2 linked regions of the Oryzias latipes genome follow. The protein of the gene in region 1 purifies or fractionates together with the protein of each later gene. This does not show direct contact. Links are inferred from orthologs where the notes say so. Each region holds a gene or a part of one and is shown on either strand. Other genes may lie near its edges.

Region 1 (4,512 bases):
GATTGCAATGATTTTTCTGAATGGCTTCTAGTGAAACTCAAATGTCACAGACTCAATTTATACTCAGTTCATTTGTCAAAAAAGAGGAAAGTCTTTGAGAAACATAGAAACCAAGTACAGAAACACTGTAAAGCTTTTTTGAGTAATGCTCAATGGTCTTAAAAATTCAATGAAAATGCATATAGCCTATTGATTAAAATGGATGCGATTTCACACTTATATTTTTGATCCTCAGACAACTATAAACACAAATTTGCATAAGTTCTGACAGAATTTTCCAAAACTCGTGTAAGATTGGGCTTTTGTTAGATTTTACTAAGATTCCTTTACGGTTTTCTAAAAAAACATTATTGCAGACCCAGTGTATGAGACAGGTAGAGTGCACATTTCTCACACTCTGCATGAGTCTTTAAATAGAATACACACATTAGGGTGTAACAGCCAACACCACACTGAAAAAACCCAAGAGACCAGTTAAAGCAACACAAGTGCTGTAACCATTCCTGTTATAATCTCACTTCTTTGACAGATACTTGAAAATGACCAATACTAACCCAGAGATGAGGCAAACACCACCCCAAAGCCAACAGCCAGCGGCCCTCCCATGTTGAGGAACTTCTCACTGGGGGCACACATGGCCACAGTAGACAGTCCTCCCACAATACCAGCTGTATACCAGGCAGCCCTCATCATCAGAGGCCCTCCAAGGAGGGTCAGTGGAGCAATGACAGCGCCCATCACACCTGAGGATGAACACACCACACGTCAATCCAATATCTAAAGTCCGTGTTTGAGCGCCCTCTGGTGTTTCTGCTGTGGAACTACATGACTGATTTGATATTACCGGTACATATTTGACACATAGCACAAATACAACTAACTACATTAACCTTTTACTGTAAGACATTAAACAATGTGACATGGTAAAAGTTGTGCAGCAATAAACTATATTTCTTTCTAACTTCAGGATGATGAAATGAACAGAAATGTCACGGAGCACTGAAAGGTTCTTTTTTTGTTTTAAGTGTTCTGCTCAGTCCTTTGGCTTCAAATGGTTTCAAGAGTGAAGTGGGAAAGGGGCTGAGTGGGAAAAATGGAATTCTATCCTCACCTGCATGGAGCATCCAAGCAAGATGTTTGGGCATTGGGCTGTGCTCATATGAAATGGACCTAACCAACATTCCCGCACCAATCATTGCAGCAAAAGTTGCTCCAATTGCCTGGTAAAAGATAAAGGAATAATCAAAATCACTTAAAATACTTTTTATTTAAAAGAAAATGCATTGTTTTCAAGTAGCAAAACTTACAAGCCATGATCCTTTCATCATTAGACCCATTAGTGCTGGTGTCCTGCTCACAGCAACTGCTGACAGAGCCGTTAGTCCAACGCTGCCTGCAAAGTACATGTAGGTGGAGTGGATTCTGTCCTTCACGTACTGAGGCCAGATCCTACACAAAGATAAAATGTCCATTTAGATGGTTTTTTCTACCATAGTTAGCTAGTGAGTACAAAACTGTAAAGGTAACAAGGAAAAATATACTAACATAGATTTCTCAAGGGCACCAATTTCATTGGACATGCCCAGTCCATAATAGCACAGAGCTCCAAGACCTACTGCTGCACCTCCTGCAAGAATGATCCTTCCCATGCTGTCAACTTGAAAAAAAAAATAATAATAAAATAAAAAAGAAATATACACAATCAGTGAATTATTATTCAACACCAAAATGTTATTTTTAATCATTCCTGACTGGAATAACAACAAAAACATGTTTACTTTTGATGGCTGTATCTGTTGCTGGCTCAAAAGCTGCTTCTTTAATTTGATCCTTTGCAGTTTTCACACGGCGGAACCCAAACCTAGCCCGTGAGGAAAAACCCTGTGAAAATAAATGAAACAATAACATGACTAAATTCAATTTAATAAATTGTAAAAAACAAAAAAAAACCATAATAATAATAAAGCATATTTTCTGATATGAAATTCTTTAGCAATTTGCTTTTACATTACAGACATCTCAGTTTTAACTTGTATCTTGATTACTTCAGAATTGTTACGTGTTTTCTTTTTTGTTTGCTTTATTTCTGTTTTATGTACTACCCTTTGATATTGACTATTCATGTGGAACATAATAATGGTCTAAATAAAAGTTTGAATAAACAAATTCCCCGTTTTTAAACTGATTTATGTATCACAGAAAATTAAACAAAACAAAAGACTATGATATTAGCAAACATATTCGCCTCCTTCAAGGCTTTTCCGTACCTGCTGCGGCATGAGAAGGGGCGGGCAGGCCTTCCATGTGGGTGCCCTCAAGGATGAAGAGCTTTGGGTCAGCACAGGACGGAGCCCGACGAGCGGGAGACTCTTTAAGCAAGTCAGCCTAGCCACCAACATGTTTGTCTCTTTTTTGAATTTAAGCTAGCTTGGTCTGAAAGACAAGCGAAATTTTGATTTCAAACGCAAACAGTGGCTCCACTTAGCCCACAATAAACAACATTCGGGTGAAAAAATTAACATATCAAACATGATTTCCCTCATAAAATAAAATAAAAGCATGATGAATAACTATAACTAGTTTTCAGGTACAGAAAGGCAACGACGTAAGTGCGTCAAGGAATTAGCAACGTCTACCAACGACTTAGAGAGCCATTACTTAGAGCCATTACTCATACATAGTAACTGAATTAACACGAAACTGTCATTAGTAAAACAAACATAGCAAAGTTTACCAGGTGTATAAACAGCACTTACAACGAAACCCTTTTCCTTCACCTTCCTAGTCCGAAATGCGCAAGTTTCTGACGCAACTGTTTTGCAAGCAACCTTACCCTTCGTGAAAATTCTCGATTGTTACGTCATCTGCATGCGACGTGTTTGGTGGGAAATGTAGTTCAGAATTTATTTCTCTTTTGTAATCAATTCAAAAAGCCACACATAAAGTTTTAGTTATCTTATTATTTAAATATTTTTGAAGGTAGAAACAAATAATAAAAATAATACTGGATTTTGAATTATTTCATGTAGAAGAAAAATGATTACGATATTAATACAAAATACGCTTTTTGATGATACTATTGTAAAGATATTTTTTTGTTTTAAAGAAAAAGACACTTTTTTATTATCTTAAAATAATCTATTATTGTTGTGTTCCGTCATATTTATTCTCATGTGCACGTGATGCCTTTGTCCACTAGGTGGAGTACTAGTCCTCTTTTCAAAAGTTGTATCAAAGTCCCCTGAAATCTAAAATCGAGGTTAAAATCAACACTTTCCTTGGTTTTAAGATCTAGAACCAAACTTGGATTTACTGTCGTGTTATGTACAGTATGTTAAATGATCTAAAATGCATATTACATCAGCAGACTCTGTCAGTCTCTGGACTCTGTCATCGTACCTCCCGCTTCAGGCTCCGCTCCTCTGCACCAAAGTTTCTCGTGAGAGTCACTGAGCTGTTGAAAAGACTTGTCATTCATTTGGCCGCCGTCCTAATCTGCAGCTAACTCAATATGCTTCTACTTGTCCCACATGTATCATTTATTAAAACTTGTCTTGCGACTTGTGCTGTATCCGTTCGTTTTTCTTTTTTTTTTCGTCACGCGCAAGTGAGTAAACGGAGAAGTAATGGAAGTCGTCTCTTTCTGGAGTTGTACTGTGAGAAGAGGCTGAACAAGTGAAGCGCGACTCGGAGTACAGACCTGCAGCTCATCATAATGGTTGGTAATAAATAGAAACAAAGATGTTCAACGTGCACAGTTTATCATTGAGCGCTATAGCATTAGACCAACATTGATTGACACGTGGTTGATGCGTAAATTTATATAAATGAAAGTTGTTGGAATAGTACACGTGTAACTGTTATTATAGGTAATACATAAAAACATGCCAGCATGGTGGTTTAATTTGAACCCCTTCAGATAACTAATCATCTGGTTTAAAAGTTTACATTTCTCTGCATTTATTTCGTTTTGGCATTGACGTGCATGTTTTTGTTAGGATAAAAAAACCCACTCTGTTGACGTATTGTAATGTTCTATAGTACATTTGGTATCTGAACGCTACATTCCTCTGTTTTGCGCGTTGACCCCTGGGAGACGGAAGCTGTTTCTCTACATGTAAACCTTGTCTTGTCTTTTTTAACATTTTTTTTGTGTAGCCTTAAAAAGAGATCTTTAAATGTCTATGTGTCTATACTAGAAGTCAAAATGTCTTTACAATTACCAGTAGTTGTTAAAAGAAGGTTATCTTAGGTAGTTTTAAAACTAATTACACTAGTAAATCAAGTGAAAAACTTTTAGTGTAAAAAAAGTTATGTAATTAATTTCCCATTTGCATTTTGAGTTATATTTTATGTTACATTTTTACTCTGTACTTATGGACTAAAGTGACTTGGTATGAGGGTTGCGTTTTCAGTTGTGCATGCCATGCTTTCACTTTACTAAAATAAAATATATTATTAGCTATCATTATTGAGCCGTGTCGTCCTCATCTAAATGTCAAATCCAGTGCA
Region 2 (4,426 bases), on another chromosome or scaffold:
TGGTGGATGTGGATGTGCTCCTGGAGCCTGAAGCTCGGCAGAACATGACTTGAGGACCTGAAACGCTGCTGCTGGTCTCACCTGACCTACCTAGGTAGGACCTACCTACCTGAACTCCAGGAGGATCTGGGAGGAAGGAAAACTGGGAGCATTTTAACAGGATGAAGCTTGTGCACAGCGTGATGCGGGAGGGTTCTGCTCCCCCTCTGAGGGTGAGAGGTCAATAATTCATTCAAGGCCTTTGAGGCTCGGAGTCTCAGACCCAAAATGCTCGACCCGCCAGTCCTGCTCCTCTTGTGGTCTTTTTTGGTGTCAGAATGGTCTTAGGTGGTCTTTTTATTCCAGAGACTGTTTCATTGTTGAAGAACTTGAATGAGAAGAAACTGTAGAAGCTCAGAGGTTCTGCCTGCAGCGAAACCTGATCTCTGGAGAGTCCAAACGCTCTTCTCCTGTGTTTTGGATATACTTCTCCTGCAGCAGGGCCACATCTGCAGCAGACAGTAGGTTTACATCTGCAGCAGGTCCACATCTGCAGCAGACAGTAGGTTTACATCTGCAGCAGCAGGGAGTTCAACTTCGTTTATGACCGGAAGTCGTCCGCAGCCACAGACCTTCCGATCCCCGGGGACCCGAAAGGCTGACAGCGAGGCTCAGTGAGGATCGATGGGGACCGAAGGCAGAGCGGTTCTCACGATCCGCTTCTCGGTGACTCATCGCTGTGGGGGGTGGGAGTGGGAGGGGGGACCGAGCCGGAGCCGAACCAACCACCACACCACAGAACACACAACAAACCGGACCGGAACAAATACGATCAGCAGGGATAACCCGGGAAAAGAAAGCGGTACCCGCGCTGCAACACACCTGAGCCGTACCTGAGGAGGAAGAGGAGGAGAGGATCAGGATGCGGAGCTGTTGTGTGACGTAGCTCCCCAAGGTTAGCTAGCGTTTAGCTCCTCGGTTTGTCGTTTCCGCGATTTCTTGACAGATAATTAAACAGAACCGTGCAACCGGAAACGAACAAGAGCTCGCGCCTCTTTGTAAACCAGTTCGAGGACCAACGTCCCACAGGCACGTTCAAACTGATACCTGTCTGCGCACACGTCCACTCTGCCTGTGACGTCGGTCTGTTGAAAACAGCAGTGACGCCAGCACTTCCTGTTTTCAGAATAAAAGCAGCTTCCGCTGCGGCAGCTAGTGCTAGCTAGCATCGTTAGCATTTCACAGTTACAATGGTTCGATTATCTGTAATAAATAAAAAAAATACAATACACTCAGTCGGATCGGAACCCACTCACATGCAAAACGTCTGAAACTTTCTGTGGAAATTTAGTTAACTGACAGTTTTCATCTTATTTGCTGTTTGTTGACAGTTTTCCTCTTATTTTCTGCTTTTTTTTGTAACCAGAAAAACAACCTAAAAATGTAGTCTTTAGTAAGCATGACCGATTTCAATGTTTAAATCCAAATTTAATTTAAAGCACGAGTTCTGAATAATTGGATTGGATAAAGGACTCTAATCTGGAATGATTCATGACAACTGTTTTGAAAATGTATATGATCCAGGAAAATGTTAAAATTTTGTATTTTCATATATCTTTGTTTCATTGTAGACCATGACATTTTCAGACATTTTAAATGAGTAAAGTAAATAAATAAATCAGCCTATGTCCACAATGCACCTCTTTATCTATAAATTGGGAATGTGAAGTTTAATTCTCATAAATGTTACAGTGTGATTTGTCAAAAATCAAAATTCACACTGAAATGAACTGTTACTATGTTTTGGGGAATGTTTCGTTACTCGTTTCTTTCACCGAAAAACAAAAAAAAAGTAGCAATAGTGTTAAAATAAAGAATAGATGGATTTGAAAACTGACTTCAAAGAGGTCCCAGTTCTGCAAGAGAAATGTCCTCTTCGCTTAAGCCCCTAACCCTGAATTTTTTTCCAGATGTTTTACCACATGTTTATGCTTTCAAGTAGATGCTAAACTAAGGTAATTTTGGAGCAGAAATATGCATCAATAGGTGTCAAGGGGGTTAAGAACATAGCGACTCAAAAGGGAAAAAACAATAAAGAGACTTGTGTTTATTTGGCAGCAACACAGAAAATCAAATCTACAGGCAAAAGAGAAGGTTTTGTAAAATATCTACACATGTGAAAGGGATATAAAAATGTATACTTTTTTCACATTGTCATCTGGGTTTTTCTGGTTGAGTCATTGCTTCATCACCAAAGGTTCCCTCTAAACCAATCAGCTCACAGCAGCGTAAGTCACCTGCTTCCTCTTTATCTAGCAATGTTGGTGTGCGAGGAAGCTGATAACCAAATCGCTGACCTCGCATGACCATTTTAACTCTCCCAACTCCTCTGAGATGAGAAGTCAGAAATGTGGTTGAGAAACCTCACATGACATGCAGTCTTTACACAACAGCTGAATAAACCACATCTGCTCTGGAGGTGAAACGTGTTTTATAGAGGAGACGTCCTCACAACTGCAGCCGTTGTCCAGGAAACGCAGAGATGAACTGAAGGATCGCAGCTTCATCACAATGTTTCAGCAAAGAGCAGGAAAAAACAAATTCTTCATGTTCTTAGTCAAATCAAACCGTCTCTGTATCACAAGAGAGCAAACGAGGAGAACACCATCTGTGGAGCTTTTTGAGCTCCTGCATGAACAACAGTCACAGTCCATCTGAGGAAACGCCGAAGCTCTTCATCATATTTGATGGTTTCTCCACTCGTGTTTTATGTTGTTTCTACCGGAACAAACCGTGGAGTGGCCGTTTTTGTGGACATACACAAATGTTTCCTTAATACCAAACCATCTTTTTTCATTTGTTACCATCATGGAAAAGAAAACTGCTATAAATTTCATGTGTCATTTACAGTTTATGGATAATCCCTAATTTGTAACTGCTTCTTGTCATGTCTATAGGTTATATCCCCTTTTTATCTTATATTATGCATTTACTTGGCCTACTGTGAATTCTCTTATTGACCCTTTAGCATTGCTATGTTTTCTGTTCCGTCTGTTCCGACTCTCATTTGTTGATTTTACACCTTTGCCACAACTGTTGTAAACGTTATCATTTCTCGTGGACACTGAGGTTCTTTGATGTCCCAGAGGTTCCTGATGTTCTGCCTTCAGACTAAAAGCAGGGCACAGGCTGCCCCTGGTCCGGGTGGTGCAGGTGGATGAAGCCAATGAGTTATATCGCTCATTGGATGAAGCCTTTCTTCTACCACCAGCCCAGCAGGGGGCGCTGCAGCCTCGAAGAAACCCGCGCGCGTCCAGCGCCATAGCAGAAAAGAAGCTGCTCGTGAGCGCGCGCGCCGAGGGGGGCAGATATGCCAGAAACACGCGCGTACGTGGAGCTTTCCGGATCATGAGAGACCCAGGAGAAAAACTCACGTTGGATCGGGAGTGCGAGCACACTGAAGAGGAGAAGAGCGGGAGGAGACTGTTGACATGGCGGTGAGTGACGTCACTGCGTTACCTGGCGACGGCGTATTTATGTCCGTCGATGTTGTGCGGTGAAAGCGCGTGTCGTTCCGCGGAGCCGCAGGGAGCCATCCATCCATCCATCCATCCACCCCTCTGTCATCTGCGCAGACGCAGACTCGCTGCCGACCGCCACTGCGGTAGAATGATGCAGTCTGCTTCTGCAGGTCACATCTGGTCCTGGATCAGCTGCACGGTCCGCTTCACCCGCAGAACAGCTCTCAATGGTTCTGATAGAAACCCTCAGCATTCTTGTGGGTGTTTGAGTCAGCAGGTTGAGGCTGGTTCTGGTGGTTCTGATGTGTTCGTGTTGGACCACTACGAATGCCGGACCTAATCTTTCTGTCTGCTGACTGCTGTTGTTCCTCTAAAGCAGTGACCTCTTCTGCTGGGAGCTGCAGCCCCGAGGGGGCGGAGCTTCCACGTGTTGCCATCACATCTGCAGAGAGACATCACGTGCACGTGTTCACAAGAACCTCAGTAAGAGAGCAGAGTCTGCTGAGCAGTAATCCCTTCCAAGAGTAGAGTAATAGATGACAGCAGCCAATCATTGGTCAGAATTAAGCCTCCGTTCTCTGGTTTCCACTTACTTTTGTTTTTGTGTCTGCAGAGGATGCCGGGCCGTCTGTCGGGCCAGCGCAGCAGAACCTCCCTTAGTCTGGCTGGACTCATGACCTGCCTTGCTGCCTTGCTCGTCAGCACTGGGGTGATTTACCTGTATGTGGACTCCCTGCAGGGCGCGGCCGAGCAGGCCGGTTACCCTCAGACCGCCTGCAGACCAGGACACTTTAAAATCTCCAGCATGAAGAGCTGCGCAGCCTGGCTGCAGTGTGCCCAGGTGCGTGCAGACGTCCGGCAGCTGAAGCTGATCGGCCAAGGAGCCGTGAAGAAGGTGAGATCACAGGTGAAACATCTGTAACGAC

The links.
Region 2: the proteins of ghitm (region 1) and pomk purify together in Homo sapiens (affinity purification with mass spectrometry; 3 studies listed by BioGRID and IntAct, counting the BioPlex papers as one, with this or other methods). This does not show direct contact. The link is inferred for Oryzias latipes from reciprocal best matches to the Homo sapiens genes GHITM and POMK.

Annotation. Positions count from the first base shown.
Region 1 is NC_019877.2:11,294,643-11,299,154, reverse strand, and holds the start of ghitm (growth hormone-inducible transmembrane protein), read right to left. Parts: upstream 2,888-4,512; 5' UTR 2,757-2,887; intron 2,434-2,756; 5' UTR 2,400-2,433; coding exon 2,268-2,399; intron 1,882-2,267; coding exon 1,779-1,881; intron 1,658-1,778; coding exon 1,546-1,657; intron 1,450-1,545; coding exon 1,308-1,449; intron 1,221-1,307; coding exon 1,112-1,220; intron 744-1,111; coding exon 555-743; intron 1-554. UniProt on the Homo sapiens protein: Plays an important role in maintenance of mitochondrial morphology and in mediating either calcium or potassium/proton antiport. Mediates proton-dependent calcium efflux from mitochondrion.
Region 2 is NC_019870.2:26,977,458-26,981,883, reverse strand, and holds the start of pomk (protein O-mannose kinase), read left to right. Parts: upstream 1-1,623; 5' UTR 1,624-3,470; coding exon of another isoform or gene 3,471-3,476; 5' UTR 3,477-3,827; coding exon 3,828-3,983; exon of another isoform or gene 3,984-4,113; coding exon 4,114-4,395; intron 4,396-4,426. Other genes in the region: pam (peptidyl-glycine alpha-amidating monooxygenase), read right to left, coding at 862-872, 1,087-1,217. UniProt on the Homo sapiens protein: Protein O-mannose kinase that specifically mediates phosphorylation at the 6-position of an O-mannose of the trisaccharide (N-acetylgalactosamine (GalNAc)-beta-1,3-N-acetylglucosamine (GlcNAc)-beta-1,4-mannose) to generate phosphorylated O-mannosyl trisaccharide (N-acetylgalactosamine-beta-1,3-N-acetylglucosamine-beta-1,4-(phosphate-6-)mannose).